Linked DNA regions of Stegostoma tigrinum. The protein of the gene in region 1 interacts with the protein of each later gene in a pairwise test. Links are inferred from orthologs where the notes say so. Each region holds a gene or a part of one and is shown on either strand. Other genes may lie near its edges. The genes, in order: pumilio homolog 2-like and dazl.

What was found.
Region 2: the proteins of pumilio homolog 2-like (region 1) and dazl interact in a two-hybrid assay, tested with the Homo sapiens proteins (2 studies listed by BioGRID and IntAct). The link is inferred for Stegostoma tigrinum from reciprocal best matches to the Homo sapiens genes PUM2 and DAZL.

Annotation. Positions count from the first base shown.
Region 1 is NC_081357.1:125,795,759-125,811,087, reverse strand, and holds the start of pumilio homolog 2-like, read right to left. Parts: upstream 6,009-15,329; 5' UTR 5,872-6,008; intron 1-5,871. UniProt on the Homo sapiens protein: Sequence-specific RNA-binding protein that acts as a post-transcriptional repressor by binding the 3'-UTR of mRNA targets.
Region 2 is NC_081355.1:103,459,189-103,474,113, reverse strand, and holds the start of dazl (deleted in azoospermia-like), read left to right. Parts: upstream 1-8,724; 5' UTR 8,725-8,754; coding exon 8,755-8,766; intron 8,767-14,925. UniProt on the Homo sapiens protein: RNA-binding protein, which is essential for gametogenesis in both males and females. Plays a central role during spermatogenesis.

The DNA.
Region 1 (15,329 bases):
GCACCACTCCTTCCCCCACCCCCGCGCACGCCCCAACTGCTCGCCCCCACCGCACGCCCCCACTCCTTCCCCCCACCGCATGCCCCCACTCCTTCCCCCCCCACCCAGCACTGCACCACTCCTTCCCCCCCCGCACACCCCAACTCCTTCACCCCCCCGCTCGCCCCCACCCCCCCACTCCTTCCCCCCACCGCACGCCCCCACTCTTTCACCCCCCAGCACTGCACCACTCCTTCCCCCCCGCACGCCCCCACTCCCCCACCCCCCCGCACGCCCCCACTCCCCGCACGCCCCCACTCCCCCACTCGTTCCCCCCCCGCACGCCCCCACTCCAGCGCTCCATCCCCCCTGCGCACGCCCCCACTCCACCGCTCCTTCCCCCCTGCGCACGCCCCCACTCCACCGCTCCTTCCCCCCTGCGCACGCCCCCACTCCACCGCTCCTTCCCCCCTGCGCACGCCCCCACTCCACCGCTCCTTCCCCCCTGCGCACGCCCCAACTCCACCGCTCCTTCCCCCCTGCGCACGCCCCCACTCCACCGCTCCTTCCCCACTGCGCACGCCACCACTCCACCGCTCCTTCCCCACTGCGCACGCCCCCACTCCACCGCTCCTTCCCCACTGCGCACGCCCCCACTCCACCGCTCCTTCCCCCCTGCGCACGCCCCCACTCCACCGCTCCTTCCCCCCTGCGCACGCCCCACTCCACCGCTCCTTCCCCCCTGCGCACGCCCCCACTCCACCGCTCCTTCCCCCCTGCGCACGCCCCCACTCCACCGCTCCTTCCCCCCTGCGCACGCCCCCACTCCACCGCTCCTTCCCCCCTGCGCACGCCCCCACTCCACCGCTCCTTCCCCCCTGCGCACGCCCCCACTCCACCGCTCCTTCCCCCTGCGCACGCCCCCACTCCACCGCTCCTTCCCCCCTGCGCACGCCCCCCACTCCACCGCTCCTTCCCCACTGCGCACGCCCCCACTCCACCGCTCCTTCCTCCCTGCGCACGCCCCCACTCTACGCTCCTTCCCCCCCTGCGCACGCCCCAACTCCTTCCCCCCCTCAGCACGCCCAACTCCTTCCCCCGCCGCACGCCCCACTCCTTCCCCCCACCGCACGCCCCCACTCCTCCACCCCCCACCCGCACACCCCCACTCCTTCCCCCACCTCCGCACGCCCCCACTCCCCCACTCCTTACCCCACCCCCGCACGCCCCCACGCCACCGCTCCTTCCCCCCTCCGCACGCCCCCACTCCACCGCTCCTTCCCCCCTGCGCACGCCCCCACTCCAACGTTCCTTCCCCCCACCAGCACTGCACCACTCCTTCCCCACCCCCGCGCACGCCCCAACTGCTCGCCCCCACCGCACGCCCCCACTCCTTCCCCCCACCGCATGCCCCCACTCCTTCCCCCCCCACGCAGCACTGCACCACTCCTTCCCCCCCCGCACACCCCAACTCCTTCACCCCCCCGCTCGCCCCCACCCCCCCCACTCCTTCCCCCCACCGCATCCCCCACTCTTTCACCCCCCAGCACTGCACCACTCCTTCCCCCCCGCACGCCCCCACTCCCCCACCCCCCCCGCACGCCCCCACTCCCCGCATGCCCCCACTCCCTCCCCCCCCGCACGCCCCCACTCCAGCGCTCCATCCCCCCTGCGCACGCCCCCACTCCACCGCTCCTTCCCCCCTCCGCACGCCCCCACTCCACCGCTCCTTCCCCCCTCCGCATGCCCCCGCTCCACCGCTCCTTCCGCCCTCCGCACAACCGCTCCTTCCACCCACCAGCACTGCACCAGCACTGCACCACTCCTTCCCCACACCGCACGCCCCCACTCCTTCCCCCCCGGCACGCCGACACTCCACCACTCCTTCGCTTCCCCCCCCGGCACGCCGCCACTCCACCACTCCTTGGCTCCCCCCCCCCGCACGCCCCCACTCCATCACTCCTTCACCCCCCGCACGCCCCCACTCCATCACTCCTTCACCCCCCGCACGTCCCCACTCCATCACTCCTTCCACCCCCGCACACCCTCACTCCACCACTCCTTCCCCCAACCAGCACTGCACCACTCCTTTGCCCCATCCGCACGCCCCCACTTCTCCACTCCTTCCCCTCCCGGCACTGCACCACTCCTTTGCCCCCTCCGCACGCCCCCACTTCTCCACTCCTTCCCCTCCCGGGACTGCACCACTCCTTCCCCCCACCGCATACCCCCACTCCTTCACCCTGCCCCGCACACCCCGACTCCCCCGCACCTTCCCCCCCGCTGCACGCCCCCGCTCCTTCCCCCCCTGCGCACGCCCCCACTCCACCACTCCTTCCCCCCCGCACGCCCCCACTCCACCGCTCCTTCCCCCCCGCACGCCCCCACTCCACCGCTCCTTCCCCCCCGCACGCCCCCACTCCACCGCTCCTTCCCCCCCGCACGCCCCCACTCCACCGCTCCTTCCCCCCAGCACGCCCAACTCCTTCCCCCCGCCGCACGCTGCCACTCCTTCCCCCCACCGCACGCCCCCACTCAACTCCCCAGCACTGCACCACTCCCCCCCCCGCCACCCGCATACCCCCACTCCTTCCCCCACCTCCGCACGCCCCCACTCCTTCCCCCACCTCCGCACGCCCCCACTCCTTCCCCCACCTCCGCACGCCCCCACTCCTTCCCCCACCTCCGCACGCCCCCACTCCTTCCCCACTCCGCACGCCCCCAATCCACCGCTCCTTCCCCCCTCCGCACGCCCCCACTCCACCGCTCCTTCCCCCCTCCGCACGCCCCCACTCCACCGCTCCTTCCCCCCTCCGCACGCCCCCACTCCACTGCTCCTTCCCCCCTCCGCTCCTTCCCCACTCCGCACGCCCCCAATCCACCGCTCCTTCCCCTTCCGCGCGCCCCCACTCCAACGCTCCTTCCCCCTCCGCACGCCCCCACTCCTTCGCCACCGCACGCCCCCACTCCTTCCCCGCCCTCACTCCAACACTCCATCCCCCCAACAGCACTGCACCACTCCTTCCCCCACCGCCTCACGCCCCGACACCCCCACTCCTTGACCCCCCGCACGCCCCCGCTCCTTCCCGCCCCCGCACGCCCCCACTCCACCGCTCCTTCACAACTCCGCACGCCCCCACTCCACCGCTCCTTCACCCCTCCGCACGCCCACACTCCACCGCTCCTTCCCACCTCCGCACGCCCCCACTCCACCGCTCCTTCCCCCCTCCGCACGCCCCCACTCCTTCCCCACTCCGCACGCACGCACTCCACCGCTCCTTCCCCCCCCCAACCCCAGACTGCACCACTCCTTCCCCCCCGCATGCCCACACTACACCACTCCTTCCCCCCCCGCACGCCCCCACTCCTTCCCCCCCCCGCACGCCCCCACTCCATCCCCCCCCCCGCACGCCCCCACTCCATCCCCCCCCCCGCACGCCCCAACTCCATCGCTCCTCCCCCCCCACTCCACTGCTCCTTCCCCCCTGCGCACGCCCCCACTCCAACGTTCCTTCCCCCCACCAGCACTCCAACGTTCCTTCCCCCCACCAGCACTGCACCACTCCTTCCCCCCCCTGCGCACGCCCCAACTCCTTGCCCCCACCGCACGCCCCCACTCGTTCCCCCCACCGCATGCCCCCACTCCTTCCCCCCCCGCACGCCCCGACATCCCCACTCCTTCCCCCCCGGCACGCCCCCAGTGCGCCACGCCCACACGCCCCCATTCCCCCACTTCTTCCCCCCCCTCCACACGCCCCTTCTTCCCCCCCTCCACACGCCCCTTCTTCCCCCCCCTCCACACGCCCCTTCTTCCCCCCCCTCCACACGCCCCTTCTTCCCCCCCCTCCACACGCCCCTTCTTCCCCCCCCTCCACACGCCCCTTCTTCCCCCCCCTCACACGCCCCTTCTTCCCCCCCCTCCACACGCCCCTTCTTCCCCCCCCTCCACACGCCCCTTCTTCCCCCCCTCCACACGCCCCTTCTTCCCCCCCCTCCACACGCCCCTTCTTCCCCCCCCTCCACACGCCCCTTCTTCCCCCCCCTCCACACGCCCCTTCTTCCCCCCCCTCCACACGCCCCTTCTTAACCCCTCCACACGCCCCTTCTTCCCCCCCCTCCACACGCCCCTTCTTCCCCCCCCTCCACACGCCCCTTCTTCCCCCCCCTCCACACGCCCCTTCTTCCCCCCCCCTCCACACGCCCCTTCTTCCCCCCCCCTCCACACGCCCCTTCTTCCCCCCCCTCCACACGCCCCTTCTTCCCCCCCCCTCCACACGCCCCTTCTTCCCCCCCCCTCCACACGCCCCTTCTTCCCCCCCCCTCCACACGCCCCTTCTTCCCCCCCCTCCACACGCCCCTTCTTCCCCCCCCCTCCACACGCCCCTTCTTCCCCCCCCCTCCACACGCCCCTTCTTCCCCCCCCCTCCACACGCCCCTTCTTCCCCCCCCTCCACACGCCCCTTCTTCCCCCCCCTCCACACGCCCCTTCTTCCCCCACCTCCACACGCCCCTTCTTCCCCCACCTCCACACGCCCCCATTCCGCCCCTTCTTCCCCCCCCTCCACACGCCCCCATTCCGCCCCTTCTTCCCCCCCTCCACACGCCCCCATTCCGCCCCTTCTTCCCCCCCACACGCCCCCATTCCGCCCCTTCTTCCCCCCCTCCACACGCCCCCATTCCGCCCCTTCTTCCCCCCCCTGCACACGCCCTCCACACGCCCCTTCTTCCCCCACCTCCACACGCCCCCATTCCGCCCCTTCTTCCCCCCCCTCCACACGCCCCATTCCGCCCCTTCTTCCCCCCCTCCACACGCCCCCATTCCGCCCCTTCTTCCCCCCCACACGCCCCCATTCCGCCCCTTCTTCCCCCCCTCCACACGCCCCCATTCCGCCCCTTCTTCCCCCCCCTGCACACGCCCCCATTCCGCCCCTTCTTCCCCCCCCTCCACACGCCACCATTCCGCCACTTCTTCCGCCACCCCCCGCAAGCCCCCATTCCGCCACTTCTTCCGCCACCCCCATTCCGCCACTTCTTCCCCCCCGCACGCCCCCATTCCAACACCCCCACACGCCCCCTTTCCGCCCCTTCTTCCCCCCTCCACACGCCCCCATTCCGCCCCTCCTTCCCCCCCTCCACACGCCCCCATTCCGCCCCTCCTTCCCCCCCTCCACACGCCCCCATTCCGCCCCTCCTTCCGCCACCCCCACACGCCCCCATTCCGCCCCTCCAACCCCCCTGCCCCCCCATTCCACCCCCCCTGCCCCCCCATTCCACCCCCCCTCCACTCCCCTTCCCCCTCCCCACTCCCCTTCCCCCTCCCCACTCCCCTTCCCCCTCCCCACACGCCCCCATTCCGCCCCCCATTCCACCCTTCCACCCCCCCATTCCACCCCCCCTGCCCCCCCATTCCACCCCCCCTGCCCCCCCATTCCACCCCTCCCCACACGCCCCCATTCCACCCCTCCCCACACGCCCCCATTCCACCCCTCCCCACACGCCCCCATTCCTTTTCCCCCTCTACTTTCACTCATCCCCCACACCTGCTCCTTCTCCTCCCAACCCTGTTCTATCCCCGACAACGTACACCCCCGCTCCGCCCCCACCCGCCTACCCCAAACCCCACCATCCCCCTCTCGTCCTGTCCTCCTCCATATTCTCCTCCACCCCTCTCAATCCCCTCACTTCTCCTCTTCCCCCCCCGCCAGCTCCCCGGCCCTTCTCCCCGCACACTCTGATTCTGGGCAGCGGCCCGGACCCGGGGCCCGCTCCTCTTCCTCGATCTTTGTGTGGCTCCGACATTATTTTGTTTCTAAACGCGCGCGCGCTGGCTCTCTCTCTCCACCGGTCGTCTGCGTATCAGTTCCCGCGGCTCGAGGGCCGGCTCACACTCACAGTTTCAGGCTGATGTTGGCGGCCTAGCCGGCGGCCTCCGCCGGGCTTTCCCTCCGGGTTTTTTTTTGTTCCGACAGAAACTCAGCGCCTTCCCCACAACAACATGGCGCCGGGCAGCATCCCCGCGCTCACCACCTAGGCCCCGCCCCCTACCGCTAAACACCGCCCACTTCCTCCCTCCCCCCCACCACGGAAAGGCCGGAATGGCCCCGCTCCACCTCCCGTGCCGACTCCGCCCCCGACTGCCCGCAGGGTCCCGCCTCCAGACCGAGTCCCGCCCCCTCGCGGAAGTGCTGATGTTAGACGAGGGTCGACCAAGTTAGAAATAATGGGAACTGCAGATGCTGGAGAATCCAATATAATAAAATGAGGCTGGATGAACACAGCAGGCCCAGCAGCATCTCAGGAGCACAAAAGCTGACGTTTCAGGCCTAGACCCTTCATCAGAGAGGGGCATGGGGTGAGGGTTCTGGAATAAATAGGGAGAGATGGGGAGGCGGACCGAAGATGGAGAGAAAAGAAGATAGGTGGAGAGGAGAGTATAGGTGGGGAGGTAGGGAGGGGATAGGCCAGTCCAGGGAAGACGGACAGGTCAAGGAGGTGGGATGAGGTTAGTAGGTAGGAGATGGAGGTGCGGCTTGGGGTGGGAGGAAGGGATGGGTGAGAGGAAGAACAGGTTAGGGAAGCAGAGACACGTTGGACTGGTTTTGGGATGCAGTGGGTGGAGGGGAAGAGCTGGGCTGGTTGTGGGGGGCAGGGGACGAACTGGACTGGTTTTGGGATGGGGTGGGGGAAGGGGAGATTTTGAAGCTGGTGAAGTTCACATTGATGCTATTGGGCTGTCGGGTTCCCAAGCGGAATATGAGTTGCTGTTCCTGCAACCTTCGGGTGGCATCATTGTGGCACTGCAGGACGCCCATGATGGACATGTCATCTAAAGAATGGGAGGGGGAGTGGAAACGGTTTGCGACTGGGAGGTGCAGTTGTTTATTGCGAACCGAGCGTAGGTGTTCTGCAAAGCGGTCTCCAAGCCTCCGCTTGGTTTCCCCAATGTAGAGGAAGCCACACCAGGTACAGTGGATGCAGTATACCACATTGGCAGATGTGCAGGTGAACCTCTGCTTAATATGGAAAGTCATCTTGGGGCCTGGGATAGGGGTGAGGGAGGAGGTGTGGGGGCAAGTGTAGCATTTCCTGCGGTTGCAGGGGAAGGGGACTTCACCAGCTTCAAAATCTCCCCTTCCCCCACCGCATCCCAAAACCAGCCCAGTTCATCCCCTCCCCCCACTGCACCACACAACCAGCCCAGCTATTCCCCTCCACCCACTGCATCCCAAAACCAGTCCAACCTGTCTCTGCCTCCCTAACCTGTTCTTACTCTCACCCATCGCTTCCTCCCACCCCAAGCCGCACCTCTGTCTCCTACCTACTAACCTCATCCCACCTCCTTGACCTGTCCGTCTTCCCTGGACTGACCTATCCCCTCCCTACCTCCCCACCTATACTCTCCTCTCCACCTATCTTCTTTTCTCTCCATCTTCGGTCCGCCTCCCCCTCTCTCTCTATTTATTCCAGAACCCTCACCCCATGCCCCTCTCTGATGAAGGGTCTAGGCCCGAAACGTCAGCTTTTGTGCTCCTGAGATGCTGCTGGGCCTGCTGTGTTCATCCAGCCTCACATTTCATTAACTAGGTTACAGTCCAGCAGGTTTATTTGAAATCACAAGCTTTCCGAGTGCAGTGAGAAAGCAGGGCACACAGGCACAGAGTTTATAGGTAGCGAAATCAAAGGGCAGAGACGTCAAAAAAATCATACAAATGGTGTGTGTAGTACCAGATTATAAATCTGCCGGTGACCAACAGTGTTAGACTGAGAGTCAAGTGTCAACAGCTGAATAACCATGGTAGTTCGGAGGAAGAATCTTTGCTTCCGACACAGGAAACGTGGGTTTGATCCCTGGTCAATGCATAGCAGTCCTTTCTTTGAATAACCAGTGAAGGGATGACCTATAATCTGATTAGGGGAGGAGAGAACCACTTACAAAAAAATCAAAGTAAGGTTATAACAAGTTGTAGAGCTGGATGTACGCAGCAGGCCAGGCAGCACCAGAGGAGTAGGAAAGCTGACTAAATAAGGTGGTGCTGGAGATGAACCAAATGACTGGAATCACATGCTGAATTCAAAACCGTACAAACTAATCAAGGTAGAGAGATCATAACAATTTGTCAAGTTGATGCTGTCTAAACAGGACAGTAAGGGGTTAGACAGAAGACGGTCTCAGTTCCAGGAAGGGTCACCGGACCCGAAACGTTAACTCCGTTTTCTCCTTCACAGGTTTTGCCAGACCTGCTGAGCTTTGCCAGCAACTTTGTTTTTGTTCCTACCATACTGTTCTTCATTTGTAAAATCTTCCTTTTGGCCCTGCCCCCACCCCCTTCGACAGCAGGCTGGGCCCCGTCCCTCCATCCATCCAGCCCCGGTTCCCCCATAACCCCGTCCATCCTGACTTCAGGGAAGCATGGGGGGGGAGCACTGGGATAGGGAATCAGGGGTATGGGGGTGGGTTTGGGACAGAGCATCAGAGAGGATGTGGAGGCACTGGGATAGGGCATCGGGGAGGGCATGGGGCACTGGAATAGGGCATCAGGGTGGGCACTTGAGGCATGGAGGGGGCACTGGCATGGGAAGGGCACTTGTGGGGGACACTGGCACCAGTGAAGGCATGGGAGGATGACACAGGCACTGCTGACTTTGGGAAGACACTGGGGATCGAAGAAGGCACCGGGGGCATGGAGACAACATTGTGAGAAAACTGGGCACCGGGGAGTGCACTGATACAGAAAGTTTCACGGGATGGGGAGCAGTGGCACAGAAAAAGGCATCAGAGCAGGGGATAAAGGAGAGGACACCAACACAGGGGCTTGGTGAGGATACAGGCACAGGAGGCATTGCCTATGATATTGATATGGGAGGACATTGACATGAGTCACTGGCGCTGGGGCATTGGGGAAGATCATGGCCTGGAGGGCTAGCAACAGACACTGGCACAGCGAGCACTGGGGAAGGGACACTAGCACGAGGATAGGACATTGTGGGTTCCGCACTGGGAGTGGGCACTGGCATGGGGGAGGGCACTGGAAAGACACTGTGACTACAATTGGGCACTAGGTATGGGTACTGAATAGTGGAGTGTACTGTGGCGAGCAAGGGCATTAACCATCCATACATTCCAACAAGTAAGGAAAATTCTATGGGACAGACCTGTCATCCATAGTCAAGTATTAAAAGAAATCAAAGATAATATCAACCATGAAGGAAAATCACATGATTGAGCAAAGATGCATGTAGGTCAGAAGATTGATATTTAAAAAGGCAAGGAACTGCTAAAAGATTGATAAGGTGGATGCTAAAAGATTGATAAGGTGGAAAAACTTTGAGCAAAGAAAGTTTTCCAACAATATTATAACAGATAGGAAGTTTTTTCTTTGGATATTTAAAAAGAAAAAAAGAGTAAACAAAGTCAGTGTTGGTCCTATAGAAATATGTTTGGGAATTAATAGTAATGGAGAACACAGAGATGGCAGAGATAGTAAACAGATATTTTGTGTTGGTCTTCAGCAGGAAAGATACAAGTAACATTGAGGAAAAAGGTGTACAGCAAGAATTGAACAAGAGGGAGGAACACACAGAACTTAGACTCAAGTAGCATTGAATGAATTGTTGGAACTCTTGAGTTGACAAGCCCCCAGGTCCTGATGTATGTCATCCTAGGGTCTTAAAAGATGTAGCTACTGAGATAGTTGATATACCAGTTTTAGTTTTCCAAAACTCAATTGATTGATGAAGGTTCCCTTCAATTTGAAAATTGCCAATGAAACTCGTGTATTCAAAAAAAGGAGCGAGACAGAAATCAGGAAAATACGGGCCAATTAGCATAACATCTTTCGTAAGGAAAATATTAGAAACTATTATTGAAGATATTATGTCAGGACACTTAGCTAGGTAAGCAGGCAGAGCCAACATGGCTTTGTCAAAGGAAATATTTATCAAATTTATTTGATGTCTTTGAAGCCAGTAACTTGTACTATGGATAAAGGGGAACCAGTGGTTATATTGTACTTAGATTTTCAGAAGGCATTTGATAAGGTGACAGATTAAAAATTATTGCACATGGTTAAAGCTCATGGTTTTGGGGATAACATACTGGCATTGATAGAAAATTGGTTTCTAACAGATAGCAGAAAGTGGCAATAAATGGGTCTTTTTCAGACAGAATGTCATGCAGATAGTGTGCTATAAAATTCTGCACTGAGGCCTCAACTCTTTACAATCTATATAAATAATTTGACTGAAGGGACCAAAAGTGCAGTAGCTAAATTTGCTGAAGACTCAAAGGTAGATAGGAAAGTGAGATGGGAAAACAATATAAGGGCTTTACAAAGGGATGCAGATGGGCTAAGTGAGTGGGCAGAGAGCTAGCAAATGGAAGACAATGTGGGGAAGTGCGAAAAATGTCCATTTAGGCACAAAGAATAAAACGGTGAGAGATTGCAGAGCTCTGAGATGTAGAGAGAACTGGATGTCTGAGTGCATGAATGGCAGGTGAGGATGCAGGTACAGTAATCAATCAGGAAAGCCAATAGAATGGTATGTTTCATTGTTAAACGCAGGAGTAGGCAGGTTATGCTTCTGTTTTGCATGGGAATTTTGATATATACAGTACTGATCACCATGAGAGCAGTTCATAGAAAGCTTGCTTGACTAATACCTGGAGTGAATGAAGAGTGAATGAGCCTTTTAAGGAAGATTTATACAGCCTAGGCCTTTATCCTCTGGAGTTCAGAAGAGTCAGTCCTTGAAGATCAACAAGACAGTTTATATGTGGAACCATAGGGGATGGTTGAGATACTAAACAAGTATGTTGCATTAGTTTTTACTGTAGGGAGGACATGGAGGCGAAAGAACTTGGGGAAATACATAGTGATTTCTTGAAAAGTTTCCAAATTACAGAAGAGGAGGTACTGAAAGTCTTAAAATGCATAAAGGTAGATAAATCTCCAGGATCAAGTGTTTCCCACATCTTTATGGGGAAGCTAGGGAAGTGATTGCTGGGGCCATGCTGAGGTATTTAGAATCATAGAGTCATACAGTAATACAGCATGGAAACAGGCCCTTCAGCCAAAACTGGTCCAAGCTAACTATGGTGCCCACTCTTTTCTGATGAAGGGTCTAGGCCCGAAACGTCAGCTTTTGTGCTCTTAAGATGCTGCTTGGCCTGCTGTGTTCATCCAGCTCCACACTTTGTTATCTCAGGTAGTTCCAATTGCCCACATTTGGCCCATTTCTCTTGAAATCCTTCCCATTTATATACTTATCGAAATGTTTTTTTTTAACTGTTGCTATTGTATCTGCCTCAACCACTTTCTCTGGCAGCACATTTCATATATGCACCACCCTCTGCATGAAGAAGTTGCCCCTCAGGTCCTTCTTAAATCTTTCTCCCCTTATCTTAAACCTATGTCCCCCAGTTTTCAATTCCCCATCTCTGGGAAAAAGACTGTATGCATTCATCCTATCTATGCCCCTCATTATTTTATAAACCTCAATAAGATCACACCTCATTCTCCTACATTCCAAGGAATAAAGTCCTATCCTGGCCAACCTCTCCCTATAACTCAGGCCAAGTTGTTCTGGCAACATCCTCATAAATCTTCTTTGCACACTTTCCGGTTTAATTATGGCTCTCCTATAACAGGGTGACCAAAACTGTACACAATACTCCAAGTGCAGCCTCACCAACAAATTGTACAACTGTAACACAACATCCCAACTCCTATACTCAATGCCTCAGCCCTCAGGATTTTACCATTTACTGTATAACTCCCACCTTGGTTTGACTTTCCAAAGCGCAACACCTCACACTTATCTGCATTGAATTGTATATTCCAAGCCTCAGCCCATTTCCCCTTCTAATCAAGATCCCTCTGTAATTTTTGATAACCTTCCTTGCTATCAATCAGACTTCCTTATCTTGTACCATCTGCAAACTTACTAATCATGCCTTGTACATTCACATCCAAACCATTTATGTAAATAACAAATAAGAAAGATCTCAGCACCGACCCCTGTGGCACACCACTGGTCACGGGCCTCCAGTCGAAGAAACGACCTTCAACCATCACCTTTTGCCTCCTACCATTGAGCCAATTTTGAATCCAGTTAGCTAGCTCTCCCTGGATCCCATGCTACCTAGCCTTCATGACCAGCCTGCCATGCAGAACCTTGTCAAAGACCTTACTATAGTCCATATGGACAACATTCACTACCCTACCCTCACCTATCCTGTTGGTTACCTCTTTGAAAAACTCTAAAAGATTTGTCAGATATGACTTCCCATGCACAAATCCATGCTGACTATCCCTGATCAGACCTTGGCTATCCAAGTGTTGGTAGATCCTGTCCAGTATCCTCTCCAATAAATTGTCTACCACTGATGCCAGGCTCATTGGCCTGTAGATCCCTGGTTTGTCTTTGCTACCTTTCTTAAACAATGGGAAAACATTAGCCACCCTCCAGTCTTCCAGAACTTCTCAAACGGCAAAGGTGAAATAAAAATCTCTGCAATTTCTTCCCTAGCCTCCCACAATGTCTGAGGATGGACTTGATCAGGTCCAGGGGATTTATCCAGCTTAACATACTTTAAGGCTTTGTGTGTGGAGAATCGTGTCCCATCAACTTTGTTGAGGTTTTTTGAAGAGTTGTTAAAGAAGATTGATGATGGTCAAGCAGTAGATGTTGTATATAAGGACTTTAGTAAAGCATTCAATGAGAATCTACATGGTAGGCTGGTTAGTAAGATTAGATCACATGGGATCCAATGGAAGTTGACCAATTGGATACAAAATTGGCTTGAAGGTAGGAGACAGAGGATGATGGAGGGATATTTTCAGGCTGGAGACCTGTGACCAGTGGTGTGCCGCAAGGATTGGTGCTGGGTCCGCTGCTTTTCATCATTTATATAAATGATGTGGATGTGAATATAGGAGGTATCATTTGTAATTTTTCAGATGACGCCAAAATAGATGTTTTAGTGAACAGTAAAGATGGTTATCTCAGAGGATAACAGGACCTTAATCAGATGGGCCAACAGGCCGAGGAGTGGCAGATGGAATTTAATTTAGATAAATCTGAGGTACTACATTTTGGCAGGGCAAACCAGGGCAGAACTTATACACTTAATGGTAAGGACCCAGGGAGTGTTGCCGAACAAAGAGACCTATGCGTGTAGGTACAAAATTTATTGAAAATTGAGTTGCATATAGAGAGGATTGTGAAGAAGGCATTTGGCACACATGCCTTCATTGGTCATAACATTGAATATAGGAGTTGGGATATCATATTGCAGTTGTTCAGTACATTGGTGAGGCCACTTTTGGGATATTGCATACAATTCTAGTCATCATCTACATCAACATTTACAAGTTGTTGCTGGGACTGGAGGTTTTGACCTATGGGGAGATACTGAATAGGTTGGGCTATTTTCCCTGCAGCATTGGAGACTGAGGAATGACCTTATACAGATTTATAAAATCATGAGGGGCATGGATATAGAGAATATTCAGGTCTTTTCCCTAGTCTGGGGGGACTCTAAAATTAGAGGACATAGGCTTAAGGTGAGAGGGAACAGATTTAACAAACACCCGAAGGGTAACTTTTTCACATGGAGCGTGGTGCATGACTGGAACGAGCTGCCAGAGAACATGGTGGAAACTGGCATAATTACAACATTTAAAAGGTATCTGGATGGGTATCTGAATAGAAAAGGTACAGAGGGATAGGGGACAAATGCCAGCAATGGGACTCGATCTGATTGGGATATCTGGTCAGTGTGGATGAGTTGGAGTGAAGAGTCTGTTTCCATGCTGTATGACTCTATATAAGACCCTCAGGGGACTTGATTGCGTTGTTATGGAGAGGATGATTCCTCTCGTGGAATCTAGAGTTAGGCATCATTGTTTCAAAGTAAGTAAGGGTTTGCCCATTTGAGACAAAGATGAGAATTTTGCTTTTCTCTCACAGGTCTGAGTGTTTTTGGAATTCCTTTCCTCAAAAGTCAGTGGATGCAGAATTGTTATTTTAAGGCAAAGGGAAGTGGATCCTTGATTACCAAGGGCATGAAAAATGATCAGGGTATGCAGGAATGTACAGTGAGGCTAATATCAGATCAGCCATGATCTCATTGAAAGACAAACCAGTCTCAAAGGGCCAAACGGCCTTCTCGTTGCTTCCTCCACACTCACTGAGAACCCATGGCACTGACACAGGGAGGAGACCCAACCATTCATGCACTCGCTCACTCATTTACCTCACTCATATACCTCACTCACAAACCTCACTCACTCACCTCACTCATATACCTCACTCACTCACCTCACTCACTCACCTCACTCACATACCTCACTCACTCACCTCACTCATATACCTCACTCACTCACCTCACTTACAAACCTCACTCACTCACCTCACTCATATACCTCACTCACATACCTCACTCACTCACCTCACTCACTCACCTCACTCACATATCTCACTCATATACCTCACTCACATACCTCACTCACTCACCTCACTACTCACCTCACTCACATACCTCACTCACATATCTCACTCATATACCTCACTCACATACCTCACTCACTCACCTCACTCACTCACCTCACTTACAAACCTCACTCACTCACCTCACTCATATACCTCACTCATATACCTCACTCACTCACCTCACTCACTCACCTCACTCACTCACCTCACTCACATACCTCACTCACTCACCTCACTCACTCACCTCACTCACTCATCTTACTCACCTCACTCACTCACCTCACTCATATACCTCACTCACATACCTCACTCACTCACCTCACTACTCACCTCACTTACAAACCTCACTCACTCACCTCACTCACTCACCTCACTTACAAACCTCACTCACATACCTCACTCACTCACCTCACTCACTCATCTTACTCACCTCACTCACTTACCTCACTCATATACCTCACTCACATACCTCACTCACTCACCTCACTCACATACCTTACTCACTCATCTTACTCACCCCACTCACCTCACTCTCTTACCTCACTCATATACCTCACTCACTCACCTCACTTACAAAACTCACTCACTCACCTCACTCATATACCTCACTCACATACCTCACTCACTCACCTCACTCACATACCTTACTCACTCATCTTACTCACCCCACTCACCTCACTCTCTTACCTCACTCATATACCTCACTCACTCACCTCACTCACATACCTTACTCACTCACCTCACTCACTCACCTCACTCACTCACCTCACTTACAAACCTCACTCACTCACCTCACTCATATACCTCACTCACATACCTCACTCACTCACCTCACTCACTCACCTCACTCACTCACC
Region 2 (14,925 bases), on another chromosome or scaffold:
ACTATTGAACGTGGACTAAAAAATCTTGGTCAAGGTCATAGCCAACCTGGTCAGGTCTGTCCTGGAGTCAGTGATTCACCCTGATCAAACCTGTGCTGTGCCGGGCAGGAAGATCGCTGAGAGCCTCGCGCTCATCAGGGATACGATAGCCTACGTGCAGGACAGGCGGGTGGACACCTGCCACATCAGCCTGGACCAGGAGAAGGCCTTCGACAGGGTCTCTCATGCTTACATGAGGGACGTCCTCTCCAAATTGGGGTTCGGGGAGGCCATCCGCAATTGGATTCGGCTGCTCTCCACCAACATCGTTAGTGCAGTCTCGATCAACGGGTGGGAATCGGACAGTTTTCCTGTCACATCTGGAGTCAGGCAGGGCTGCCCGCTCTCTCCTGCCTTGTTCGTGTGCTGTGTGAAGGCCTTCGCCGCATCCATCAGGAAGGACGTGAGCCTGAAGGGCGTGACTATCCCAGGCAGCGGAGGCCTTCAGGTCAAGACCCCCCTGTACATGGACGACGTCGCCGTCTTCTGCACCGATCGTCGGTCGGTGAGTAGGCTGTTGCACATCTGCCGCCAGTTTGAACTGGCCTCGGGTGCCAAAGTCAATAGGGGTAAGAGCGAGGTCATGTTCTTCGGGAACTGGAACGACTGCTCCTTCATCCCCTTCACCGTCAGGACAGACTACCTGAAGGTGCTGGGTGTTTGGTTCGGCTGGGGCATGCACTAATACTTGGGAGGAGCGTATCACCAAACTGAAGCAGAAGCTAGGCAGGTGGTTCTCCGGTCCCTCTCCATCATGAGTAAGAACCTTGTTGTCAGGTGCGAGGGGCTTTCGGTACTGTTGTATGTGTGCAGGCCTGGCCTATTCCCTGGACCTGCTCTGCTGCGGTCACCCGGGCCATCTTCCACTACATTTGGGGGTCGAGGATGGACCGGGTCCGCAGAGACACCATGTACAAAGACCTGGAAAATGGGGCAACAGGCGTACTGAACGCCACCCTCACCCTGATGGCTACCTTTGTGTGTGGCTGCATCAAGCTGTGCATAGATCCTCAGTACGCAAACACCAAGTGTCACTACTTACTGAGGTTCTACCTGTCCCCGGTGTTGCGAAGGATGGGCCTGGCCTCTTTGCTGCGGAACGCTCCGAGTAGTTGGACCGTCCCGTACCACCTGTCCTTCGTGGAGAAATTTTTGAAACGAAACACCTTTGACCAAAAGGCCGTCAGGCAGTGGTCAGCATGTAGTATCCTCAAGACCCTTCGGGAAAAGGAGATGGTGGATCCCGTCTTGTGGTTCCCCACGCAGACTGCCAAAGTCGTTTGGCAGAATGCCTCATCGCCAGAACTTTCAAACAAGCACAAGGACATTGCTTGGCTGGCGGTGAGAGGGGCTCTGACAGTGTGATCCTTTATGCATGCCCGGAATCTCTGTGCCACCGCAATGCCCTCGAGGTGGCTGCTGGGGTGACGAGACTGTCGATCACCTCCTTCTGGAGTGTGCCTATGTGCAGGAGGTCTGGAGGGGGATGCAGTGGTATTTGTCGAGGTTCGTCCCGAGCAGCTCCGTGACGCGGGACTCCGTGCTCTCCAGGCTGTTTCCCGGGACGCACCCTGAGACCAACATTAACTGCGCCTGGAGGACCATCAATGCAGTGAAAGACGCCCTTTGGTCTGCCTGCAACTTGCTGGTCTGCCATCTGAAAGAACTGACCCCGACCGAATGTTGCAGACTGGCGCACTCCAAGGTCCAGGACTAGGTGCTGAGGGACGTGCTAAAGCTTGGGGCAGCTGCCGCCAAGGCGCGGTGGGGAAAGACCACCGTATGAAACCCCTTATCCAGAATAGAAAAAAGAGCGCTGTCTGGTAACTGGGCCCAGCTGGCGCCTTCCCCAACTGGTCAGGTGGCCAACAGGGACTGTGTGGGGAGATGACTGCCAGGGTATTTTCTTTGCTTTGTTTTTTGTTCTTCTTTGTTTTGTTTTTTTCCTTTCGTTGGTGTACGTACCCCCGGCTAACCTGGAGTGGCTTGCATGACTGGGTAGGTGTATAAATATGTTTTATTTTTTGTACATCTTATGAATAAAGTATATTTTGTCAAATAAAAAAAGTCACGAAACGTCTGAAAACTAACCTTGCAGCTCAGCGAGCAAACTCACATCCAGAACCTCAACCTGAGCTACAAATCTTCTGAAAACTTGCTACCTTTTCCTGTAACCTCAGGAGGTGCTACACCTGCCCCTACATGTCCCCCCTCAACTCCATTCCAGGCCTCAAGAAAGCTATCCACATTAAACAGATGTTCACCTGCACATCCACTAATGTGGTCTATTCTATCCGTTGTTCCCAATGTGGCCTCCACTACAACGAGGAGATCAAGTGGAGACTTGGAGACTGCTTTGTGGTGCACCTACATTCAGTTCGCGCCAAACAACACCTCCCACTCCCCGGACGACACATCCGTCCTGGGCCTCCTCCAGCGTCACATCGATGCCACCTGGGAACTGGAGGAACAGTTCCGCCATGGAAGCCAACAACCCAATGGTCTCAATGTGGTCTTTACTAGCTTCAAAATCTCTCCACTTCCGACCTCATCTCAAGAGCAAACTCCCCTCTCATCCCTGCCTCCTTGACCTGTCTGTCATCTGTCCCACCCATCCACCCCTCCCTCCTCACTGACGAATCCCATCCCCACTTCCTACCTACACTCACCTTTACTGTGCCTCCTTGGCGTGTCCGTCTTCTCTCCCATCTATCTGCTCCACTATACACCTGCTATCACCGCTCCCCGTCTCTCTATTTATTTCCGAGCCTCCTTCCCCTCCCCCATTTCTGACCCGAAACATCAGCTTTCCTGCTTGTCTGATGCCGCCTGACCTACTGTGTTCCTCCAGCTCCACATCTTGTTATCTCATACTCCAGCATCCGCAGTTCTTACTATCCCTGTTTGTAAAATACTTGACTCGTGCATCTTCTTTAAACTTTCCCCCTCTCACTTTAAAACTATGCACCATAATATTTGACATTTCTACCCTTGGAAAAAGACTCTCACTGTCCACCCTATCCGTGCCTGTCATGATAACAAATACCTCCAAACAGGTCACGCCACAGCCTCCAACGGTCTAATGAAAACAATCCAGGTTTTGTCCAACCTCTCCTTGTAGTTAATAAACTCCAATCCAGGCATCCTCTTTTGTACCCTCTCCCAAGCCTTCACATTCTTCCTATGGTGTGGAGACAAGAACTGCACACAATATTCCAAATGTGGTTTAATTAAAGTTTTACACAGATGCAACATGACTTGCCTACTTTTATACCTAATACACTGAACCATGAAGGCAAGAATGCCATATGCCTTCTTTATCACCTTATCCACCTGTGTTGCAACTTTCAGGGAGTTATGGACTTGGGACCCCTAAAATCCCTTAATATATATATGGTCCTAAGCATCCTGCCATTTGCTGTATACTTTCCTCATGTATTTGACCTCCAAAAATACCTCACAACTTACACTTGTCTGCTTTACACCCCATCTGCCATTTCTTGGCCCAACTTTCCAACTGATTTATATCATTTAACAACTTTTCTTACTATCCAAAACCCCATCAATTTTCCTCTTGTCTGCAAACTTACAAATTGGACTGCCTACGTTTTCATCCAAATCATTTATACACATCACAAACAGAAGTCCCAGCACTGATCTTTATGAAACACCAGTGGTCACAGACCTCCTGTCTGAAAAACAACACTCCACAACTATACAGTCTTTTATAACCAAACCAATTCTGTATTTATCAACTCACTGTGGATACTATGTGATTTAGTTGTCTGGGCCAGCCTACCAAGGGAGACCTTATCAAATGCTTTATTAAAGTCCATGTTGACAACATCCACTGCCTTACTCTCAGCAATCATTTTCATCACTTTCTCAAGAACTCTATCAGTTTGTGGGACATGGCATCTCCACAAACAAAGCCATGCAGATTATCCCAAATAAGTCTCTTTTACAAATATGTGTAAATCTGTCCACAGCAATCTTCTCCAGTAATTTCCTTATCAATGATAAGGCTCACCAGCAAATAATTTCCTGGATTATCCCTGTTGCCCTTCTTTAACAAAGCAACAACATTGGTTCCAGTGTTTTGGGGGCTTCAACTGTTGCTAAAACAGGATACAAACATCTCTGTCAAGGCCCCAGCAATTGCCACCCTTGTCTCTCTCATTATCTTAGGATGGATCCCATCAGACCCTGAGGACTAAACAATCTTCATGTTTTTCAAGACACCCAACACCACCTCCTCAACACCAGAACATCAACATATCCCTTCTTAATTTTACCATCATTAAGGTCCTTGACCTTGATGAATACCGAAGTACTCATTAAGGTCCTCACCCATTTCCTCAGGTACAACATATAAATTGCGCTCTTGCTCCTTGTGTGGGTCTACCCTTTCTCTAGCTGCCTTCTTGCTCCTAATATATGTACAAATATATTTTGGGATTCTCCTTAATCCTGCTTGCCAAGGACATTTCATTGCCCCCTTTAGGCCTCCTAATTCCTTGTTTAAGTCTTTTCTGCTTTGTTTATAGTCCTCAAGGGCCTTACCTGATTTCAGTTTCCTAATCCTTACATTTGTTTTCTTTTTTTGACTAAACTTCCAATATCTCTTGCCATCCTTATCTCTCATCCTCACAAGATCAATACGCAAACAATTTTAATATTCTCTAGAGAACATACAGCTACACCTTAGATGGTCAGCCTGACTTGACTGCAGGTTGCTTAAAAGTGTTCAAAGGTGAGAGCTTCTTGACTTGATACACTGGGATTTCCCCGACATCTTGGATCTTTCTTTTACCATCACATTGCCAAGGGAATTTCCAGATTTTATCTATTGTGTATGCATTTTTGTCTTTAGTTATTTTTAATTATCTTTCAAAGATCTCATGCAGAATCCTGTTATTAGGTCACATTGTACAATAAAGTGTGTGACCAACTTCATTGTCATGCGAAGTTCCAAACGGGTTTTGATTAGTTCAATAATATATGAAAAGTCTAAGCACTTTATCACATTTGCAATGAACAGTATGTTCGATTCAGCCTCAATCAAACTCCTAGATAATAAAGTGTGAAGGTGGATGAACACAGCAGGCCAAGCAGCATCTCAGGAGCACAAAAGCTGACGTTTCAGGCCTAGACCCTTCATCAGAGGGCTCCTGAGATGCTGCTTGGCCTGCTGTGTTCATCCAGCGTCACACTTTATTATCTTGGATTCTCCAGCATCTACAGTTTCCATTATCTCTCAATCAAACTCCTTTTGGTCAATACTTTTTCCTAACTTGACTGAGTTTTCTGCCTTGGTGTTCAGACACACATGCACGTATCAGTCCTTAATCTTTTCCTTAGAGATCATAACCTCTTTTCCTCTAAAATACAACTAAATGCTGCAGCACTTGAAATTTTAAGAAGTTTGTATGTTAAAACTGGTGTTTACAAATTAATGTGATAATGGGAACTGCAGATGCTGGAGAATCCAAGATAATAAAGTGTGGAGCTGGATGAACACAGCAGGCCAAGCAGCATCTCAGGAGCACAAAAGCTGACGTTTCGGGCCTAGACCCTTCATCAGAGACCCTTCATCACCCTCTCTGATGAAGGGTCTAGGCCCGAAACGTCAGCTTTTGTGCTCCTGAGATGCTGCTTGGCTTGCTGTGTTCATCCAGCTCCACACTTTGTTATCTTTTACAATTTAATGGTTTCTTTCATGTAGTCTGTAATGTGAAACACAGAGAATTATACATTTTTTAAGCTTCATGATCAAGAACACTAGGCGGACAACAGTGTCAAAAGTTTATTCAGCACACCTAGGTAACAACAATATTTATTTCACAGTAATAACAGACTAATCACAGAATTATCAGGAAAATTAGGCAAGTACACTATCCAGGTGGGTAATTAGTATTTAATGAAGGCTTGGGACTTGCATGAATTTCAACACGAGGAAGCTTGAGTGCAAAGATTCAACAAAAAATAACCACAATGTGTTGATGGCATCGGTAACAATTTGGAATATTGTGTGCAGTTCTGGTCGCCCCATTACAGGAAGGATGTGGAAGCATTGGAAAAGGTGCAGAGGAGATTTATCAGGATGTTGCCTGGTCTGGAGCGCAGGCCCTATGAAGAAAGGCTGAGGGACTTGGGTCTGTTCTCATTGGAGAGAAGGAGGCTAAGAGGGTATTTAATAGAGACATACAAGATGATCAGAGGATTAGATAGGGTGGACAGTGAGATTCTTTTTCTGACGATGATGACTTCAGCTTGTACAAGGGGCATAGCTACAAATTGAGGGGTGATAGATTTAAAACAGATGTCAGAGGCAGGTTCTTTACTCAGAGAGTAGTAAGGGCATGGAATGCCCTGCCTGCCAATGTAGTTAACTCAGCCACATTAGGGGCATTTAAGCAGTCCTTGGATAAGCATATGGATAATGATGGGATAGTGTAGGGGGAGGGGCTTAGATTAGTTCACAGGTCGGCACAACATCGAGGGCTGAAGGGCCTGTTCTGCGGTGTATTGTTCTATGTTCTAAATGGTGCAAGTCAAGTTGTAGCTAAAATGACTAATATTTAGAAACTGTTCAGAAGGCCAAACACAATCTGTGGACAGAGGAAACAAAGTTAATGTTTCAGGTTGGTGGCCTTTCATTACAACTGGAAAATATTAGAGATGTAATGGGCTTAAAAAAAATTCAGAAGTAGGGATACAGGGGAGGGGAGTAAAGGACAAACGGGAAGGTCTCAGAGAAGAAGGAAGCTAGCAAATGAAAAGAAAGGGTTTGGCATAAGAAAAAAAATTGGCTCTATAATTTTTTTAACATTTTTCGCCAGATATTGAGGATTTTCATACTTCGTTTTTCACTCAAAATGAAGTTCAATAGAAGCTTTAAAAACATTTCATCATTTGATAAGGCACTTCATAGACATCTCAATTCGATACTGACTTCGATTTCAGTTTTTAACATTATTTGCATTTTTTCAGACACATCTGTCGTTAATGATTCTGCTTTTGTCATATATATCTCCTCTGGATTTTGATTGTATGCTGGTCCCAATTACATCTATTTTCGACTCACTCTATCATGCCTAAACTGCTCTGCCTTTCAATTAATCTGAATGTCTGTTAAAATCCTAATTTAAGCGAGACACGTAGAATCAGAGAATGATTGCAAAACAGATTAAAAGATTTTTGGCCTGTTCGTGCTCTGTCTTCGAGAAACTCAGCAAGCCTATTCTCCTAGATAATAAAGTGTGAAGCTGGATGAACACAGCAGGCCAAGCAGCATCTCAGGAGCACAAAAGCTGACGTTTCGGGCCTAGACCCTCTCTGATGAAGGGTCTAGGCCCGAAACGTCAGCTTTTATGCTCCTGAGAATGCTGCTTGGCCTGCTGTGTTCATCCAGCTTCACACTTTATTAACTTGGATTTTCCAGCATCTGCAGTTCCCATTATCACTGAAGCCTATTCTCCTATCTTTTTTCTATAGCCCTCATTTTATTTCAGTTGAAAATCACAATTGGATTCTCTTCTACCTTTCAAGCAGTGCATCTTTCAATCTTAGCCATTTGTCGGGTATAATAGGTTTTTCTAATGTCTCTTTTGTTGTCTGCGATTCACTTTCTGTCAGGGATTCTGGAGCCTTCTACTCATACGAAGTTTTCTCAACCAACTTTGTCTACACTCTCATGATTTAAAGACTTCTTTCACACTCTTCTTCTATAAGGAGAATAACCCTAGCTTCTCAACGGAGTCATTCTAGCAAATAATTTCTCCATCCTGCCAGTGGCGTCAAATTTTCCAAAAAATGATTCAGAGAGGTCGTCGTCGACCTAAAAGGATAACTTTTGCCTCACTGCCCCGATCTGCTTTCGACATCTTCTGTTTTGATAGTAACTTCCAAAATCAAGGTTTTTCGCTTTAATCGATTTTATGTCCAGTTGCAGTCCTCGCAAACCCTGTCACTCTTGGGCTATTCTGTTAAGTTCAGACTCTACAAATTGAGCCGCTGTCGCGATAAATCTACATGATCTACAAAAAGCACGGCGGAACGTTCAGAACTATCAGTGACCCCCTCTTCAAATTAGACCGACGTGTAACATCGTATAGACACGTTTATATCTCAACTCGAAATATATATTTTATGATTCTGTATTTTATCGCAGCGGGACAATTTCAATCTTTATGATTTCCGACACTGAAATAAAGAAACAAGGGTGATCCAATTAATTCGCAACACCATTTCAAGAACTGAGAGTCCAGTGTTGGTAACTGAACACTTTATTTCCCTCTCTATCTCTCCAACTTTAAACATGTTGTCCGTTAAACAGTTCTTCACTCAACAAAATGGCGGCCTTCAAATTCCAGCTTCATTTCACGCGCTTGCCGACTTAGAGAGCGGGCTAGCTTGGACTCGACCATCGTCTGCCTAGACGGGACACACTAGCAACAGACACTTTTTGTTTAACAGTTGGCATTTTGAATTGATATGATAGTGTTTCATTTTCTAGCGTTTTTTCGTATTGACTTGCAGTGCAGTGACTAGTTGCAGAGGCGGTAAACAGTTATTAATCTTCTGATGATTTGTAAAAGCCCTTGGGGTACCCCTGCTGGGTGGTGTTGAGTGGATGCAGCATATAAATAATAGGCGCGGCGGAGGCATTTCTCGCCGAACGTCTGGTTGTTGGAAGGCTGTTATTTGAGAAACATGGCTGAAATGGTAAAACAGGCGGGAAATAACTTGCGATCAGTCTCCATGTTCAATAAGTGGTTTCCATAATATGTTGGTTAACTTATGTTTTGATACAAGCTGTTAGTCGAAAACCCTTAAACCACGTGCCATGTTCTAGCGAGGCGGAGTGCCGTCTCTCGACGCCGTTAAATGGCGGTTTGGACTCGTCAATAATTTCGGGGTTCATGATAAATTATTGTGAGGCTGGGGGCCGGTGGGGAGACTTACTATTTGTACACACAGTTCCACCTCATCACCCTTTGGCTTTAATTTAGTCTTGAAACTGGTTGTTCTTTATCTCATGTAAACTTGTTACTTTTTTGTAACTTGTCCGGTTAGCCAATGCCACGTTCACAGTAAACAGAATCGTAAATGCCTTCAGAGATAATGGGAACTGCAGATGCTGGAGAATCCAAGATAACAAAGTGTGAAGCTGGATGAGCACAGCAGGCCAAGCAGCATCTCGGGAGCACAAAAACTGACGTTTCGGGCCCAATGCCTTCCCAGTCTTTGAGACATTCGCGGGTCGCCGACTCCATTATCTTTATGACACCGTAGACACAACTGCATTTGGCTTGAACAAAGAAGCGGACTGGGTCGGCAATAAGGGGGGGGAGGGGGCGAAGATATTTATCGGACCGCATCCAGCGTTTGTTTCACCTCCACGTCGCTTGTATTTTAAACCAAAAGGAAGTGCGAATTAGTGCAGATGAAAGCTCAACATGGAGTTTTAGTTTACAAGAAGCCATTTTCCTCCTCTACATATCCAACAAGAACAGAAAACAACATTATAGTTTCATTGTTTCATATTGAATGAAAAGTTTTTTATACACCTGACGAAATGGAGGGCTAAAGTGTGGGGTTGCATGTGTTTAGGGACTTATTTTCTTCATTTGTTATCCACAACATCCCAGACACACTTAACCTTTAGGATGTATTGGACATAAAACAATTTTGAACATGTTACCATCTTTCCATCAAAGATTATTTTTGACTGGTAGAAAACAGTAGGTATGAATGAGTCTGGTAGGATGTGGTGAGTGAAGTCTTGGAGTGGTCTGAGTTGGGGTCTCAACTTCTTACAGTATGTAGCAATCATTTGGATGGAGGAAATGTTATTAAAGGTAAATTTGCAGATGATGCCATAATAGTCAGGAAAGTATATGGTGTAGAAGATGCGAGGTTTTGCACTTTGGAAAAAAGAATACAGGCATGGACTATTTTCTAAATGGTGAGAAAATTCGTAAAGCAGAAGTACAAAGGGATCTGGGAGTGTTGGTCCAGGATTGTCTAAAAGTTAACTTGCAGGTAGAGTCCGTGATTAAGAAAGCGAATGTAATGTTGCTTTATCTCAAGAGGATTGGAATATAAAAGCAGTGATGTGCTTTTGAGACTTTATAAAGCTCTAGTTAGGCTCCATTTAGAATACTGTGTCCAGTTTTGGGCCCCACACCTCAGGAAGGACATAGTGGCACTGGAGCATGTCCAGCGGAGATTCACACGGATGATCCCTGGAATGGTAGGTTTAATGTACGATGAATGGCTAAGGATCCTGGGATTGTATTCATTAGAGTTTAGAAGGTTGAGGGGAGATCGAATAGAAACTTACAAGATAATGTATGGCTTAAAAAGGGTGGACGCTGGGAAGTTGTTTCCGTTAGGTGAGGAAACTAGGACCTGTGGGCACAGCCTTAGAATTAGAGGGGGTAAATTTAAAACTGAAATGAGATGACATTTCTTCAGCCAGAGAGCGTTGGGCTTGTGGAATTCATTGCCACGGAGTGCAGTGGAGGCCGGGACGTTAGATGCCTTCGAGGCAGAGATCGACAAATTCTTGATCTCTCAAAGAATCGAGGGCTACGGGGAGAGTGCAGGGAAGTGGAGTTGAAACGCCCATCAGCCATGATTTAAATGGCAGAGTGGGCTTGATGGGCCGAATGTCCTTATTTCCACTCCTATGTCTTATGGTCTTAAGATCTGATTGTAAATAGGTTCAGTAATTGGGCAAGAAGCTAGCAGGAAATAAGATAGGAAATTGTGAAATTGTTCACTATGGCAGCAAGAATGAAAAAGCAATGTATTACTTAAATAAGAATGATTGTAGAATTTTGAGGAGCAGATGAACTTAGGTATACTGATGCATAAATTCTCAAATGAACATACAGGCACAGTGTGTAATCAAGAATGCTAATGGCCTGTTGTCCATCATTATAATAGGAATGGAACATAAAAGCAAAAATGCTATGCTTGAGTTATATAGAACATGAATGAGGCACCATCTCTGCACTGTGTGCAGTTTTGTTCTCCTTATTTGATGAAGAATGTAAATGCATTGGAACTGATGAGAAGGTTTACTATGTTGATAACTAATGAATGGATTGATTTTTGAGAATGTTTTAAACAGGCTGGCTTGTTTCTACATGAGTTTAAAAGAGTGATAACTTGATTGAAGCATTAAAGCTCCTGCATAGTCTTAGAAACGTGAATGTTTCCTCTTTGCGTGAGTCCATTTCCGTTTTCTTAAAAAAAAATGTTTGTGATGTCTGAGAATTGAGTGTTGTGAGACTCTGGAAACATGGTCGCTAAATATTTGTTATGCAAAATTATAAAGATTTTTGAGCAGGGAAATTGAAGATTATTGTGGGTAGTTGAGAATGTGGATTTGATGTGAACAAATCGACTATAATCTTAATGTCACAGCAGGTTTGAGGGGCCAAATATTAAGGTACACGTAATCCTGGGGTGACATCTGACATATGCTAAGGCTTAATGATATGGTGAAGCATTTATATTTTTCTGTGCTCACTTGTAAAGTCCCAAATTTCTTAGCCCTTTTGACTACCTTTCTATTGTTCTTATTGACATTTCTATAAAGTATAGTTGTGACTTTAATTTTTCTGAGAATACAATGTCTTACTAATTTATGTCCCCTTTTGCCTGTCACTACTATTATCCAGTTGCAGTTAACTAATTTTAAAGGTTCTTTGGTTCTTTTCTATATCTGAGTTGAAAATGGGTGTAGCCATGTTGTATCTATTAAAACAAAACATCTATATTGAAACAGAAATAGGATGTAGAACAGACCACTAAAGTGTATCAGAGATGAGTAGAGCTAATTTAAAAGGTTTTTAAAAGAGGTAATATTGAGAAGGAAAGAAGTAGATGCTGAGAGGTTTAATGTGTGTGGCTAAAAATTTTGATCTATTCAAGATTAGATAGTGGATAAAAATTCAGGAGAGCCTGACAAGTAGGTACAGAGGTATAATGTTGCAAGGCTGCCTAGAGTTTTAAAGATCGTGTAACTGATGGGGAATTGAAATATGTACTTTTTTTGTTCAACCTAAGCTGTGCTCCCCAAACTCCCTTTTTTCATCATGAATCTATTTTATTGCTTGAAAGTTGTAGAGACCTGCTACAACTAAGATGGTGGCAGGGTCAAAGGATGTTTAATCCACAGGATATTTAGGTAAAAAGCACCTAACTTCTGGTAAGATTTTCTATAGGATAGAACTAGAACACTGGGCTGCATCTGATCTTAACTGCCAATATTTAAGTGTGATTGTTAGCACTTTGTCAGATTTTAATGGCAGTCATTGCTGCATTGGAGGTTGTAACTCACTTTGGTAGCTGGGTAGAAAAATGGCAGTAAGGATGTGCTGAGCATTAAGGTTGGATGTTGAAGCGCAGATAAGACTTGGCGTCATATGGCCAGTATGGATACAGTTGAGGTTGAGAGAAATAACTTGCACCTGTATGTATGAATGTAGCATAAATATGAGAATTGATCCTATGTAGGTGATGAGAGGACAGTTGTTGCAAACCTCCATATTACTACCAGAGCAAATTGATAGAGTCAGTAAGACCAGCCAGTTGAATGTGCAGTTCATAGATTGGTGTGGGAGAAATGGATTCTGATTCTTGGGTTAGTGACACCAGTACGAGCAAAAGAGGGTGTTGTATTGTTCTTAATGGCTTCTGCCTAAATTGTGCTGGGACCAATGTTCTGATGAATCATAATAGAAGACTTTAAACATAAATATTTCAGTTGGGGAAGTGCCACAATGAACCTGTTTTAATGGAGACAGATTGCAGAACATTGCTAAACAAAGGGATCTGGGTGGCCATGTACTTAACCAGCAAAAAAGTTGGTACTTTACAGTGGCGATAAAGAACGAGTGGAGGTGTCTTGCTACAGCTGGATCATTAGTGTTTCACTAATGTCCTTTAGGAAAGGAAACTACCATCCTTACCTGGTCTGGCCTACATGTGACTCCAGACCCACAGCAATGTGGTTGATTCAGCTGCCCTCTGGGAAATTAGGGAAGCGCGATAAATGCTGTCCAGCCAGCGACGTCCTCATCCCGGAATGAATAAAGAAAAGAAAGCTGTAAAATGTGTTCATTATTCTGTGTCTAGAATACTGGAATTTTAAGGATACTTACGTTGGAAGTAGTTCAGACAGGGCTCACTTGGCTGATTCGTGAGATGAGGGGCCTGTCATATAAAGGCATAATTGCATAGGTCAGGTGTGTATTTGTTGGAGTTTAGAAGAATGATAAATGTTCTTAATGAAATCTAGATATTGGGGGGGTTTGACAGTTTAAATGTTGAGATGATGTTTCCCTCTAAATCTAGAATTTGGGGGGCACATTTTTTTAAAATAAGGAGTTTCCCATTTAAAACATGATGGGGAATTTCTTCTAAGGGTAATTAATATTGTAAATATTCTTTGCCTGAATATGTAGGATTTGAATATATATTGAATATATTTAAGACTGAGTCAGACAGGATTTTTGAATGACAAACAAGTTGATGGTTAGGAAGAACAGGTATAAAATTGCTTCTAAGGCCATAATCTGATCTGCCATGATCGCATTGAATGGCAAAGAATAGTTGTTTGGCCAAAAGGCCTAATGTTCCTATTTATTGTGATCTTATGAGAAGAAGGAAGTCAAATGTGCATCTTTGTAGTTGGGAGGGAAAGACACTTATGGAAATAACAAAACTGTACTTTGGCCATCTTGCCAATCTTTGGTCCTTTGAAAGAGCTAATTTTTTCCCCTGTTTGTTCATGTTGGTGTTGCTGCCTAAGTCAGTAGTCTTTGGAGAAGGTGATCTGACTATTGGAACTGTTACGTGCACAGTCTTGTTAGGAATGGAGTTCCAGGATTTTATTTCAGCAACAGTGAAGGAAATGCAAGATAGTTTTAAGTCAAGGTAATGTGCAACATGGAGAAGTTGCTTGTGTTAGTTTTCCCAAAGAAAGACAGAAAGTGAATTAGTAGCCAGAGAATTTATGGCCTCTTGACATGTTTTGTGGCTACCTTATTTCTCTGGCTGGTTCAGTTTAGTCTCTGCTCAGTCATGTTCCTCAGGGTGTTGACAGAAGGGAGTTCAGTGGTGGAATTAGAATTGACTTTATTGTCATGTGTAATCAAGTACAAATGTGCAAGAATACAGTGAAAAATGTACCATGTTGCCACACATGGCGCCATCTTAAGTACAAAGTATCTAGTTACCAACCTTGCGTACTAAGATAGATTTAGGTACAAAAATAGAGAAATAAAGAAAAAAAGTTAAGTCCTACACAACAGTTTTTCGTAGTATATATTAAGAAAATAAATAAAGTTAAAAGATAAAAATTATAGTTGTCTTATAGCCTGTGATTGCTCTAGGCTGAGGGCTTTCCACTGTACTGTGCTAGGCTGACCCCACCGGGCTTGCAAGGTGTTGACCGCCATCTGTGACAGGCTGACTGCTCCTGAGCCAGTCTGCCTGCCATGCTGTTTCTGGCACCAACTGCACACCCCCCATCCCCACCCCACCTGCCAAGCCTTGATAATGTCTTGGAATCTCAGTGGGTGATTAGTTTTTTGCTTGTTGAAGATGGTCACAGTTGGCACTTGTGTGGCATAAATCTTACTAATAAGTCCAAACTTGATGATGTCCAAGTCTTAGATTACCAGGTGTAGAGCTGGATGAACACAGCAGGCCACGCAGCATCAGAGGAGCAGGAAGGCTGACATTTCAGGCCTGCACATCTAAACAACTGCACCTCCCAGTCGCGAACCATTTCAACTCCCCCTCCCATTCCTCAGACAACATGTCCATCCTGAGCTTCCTGCAGTGCCACAATGATGCCACCCA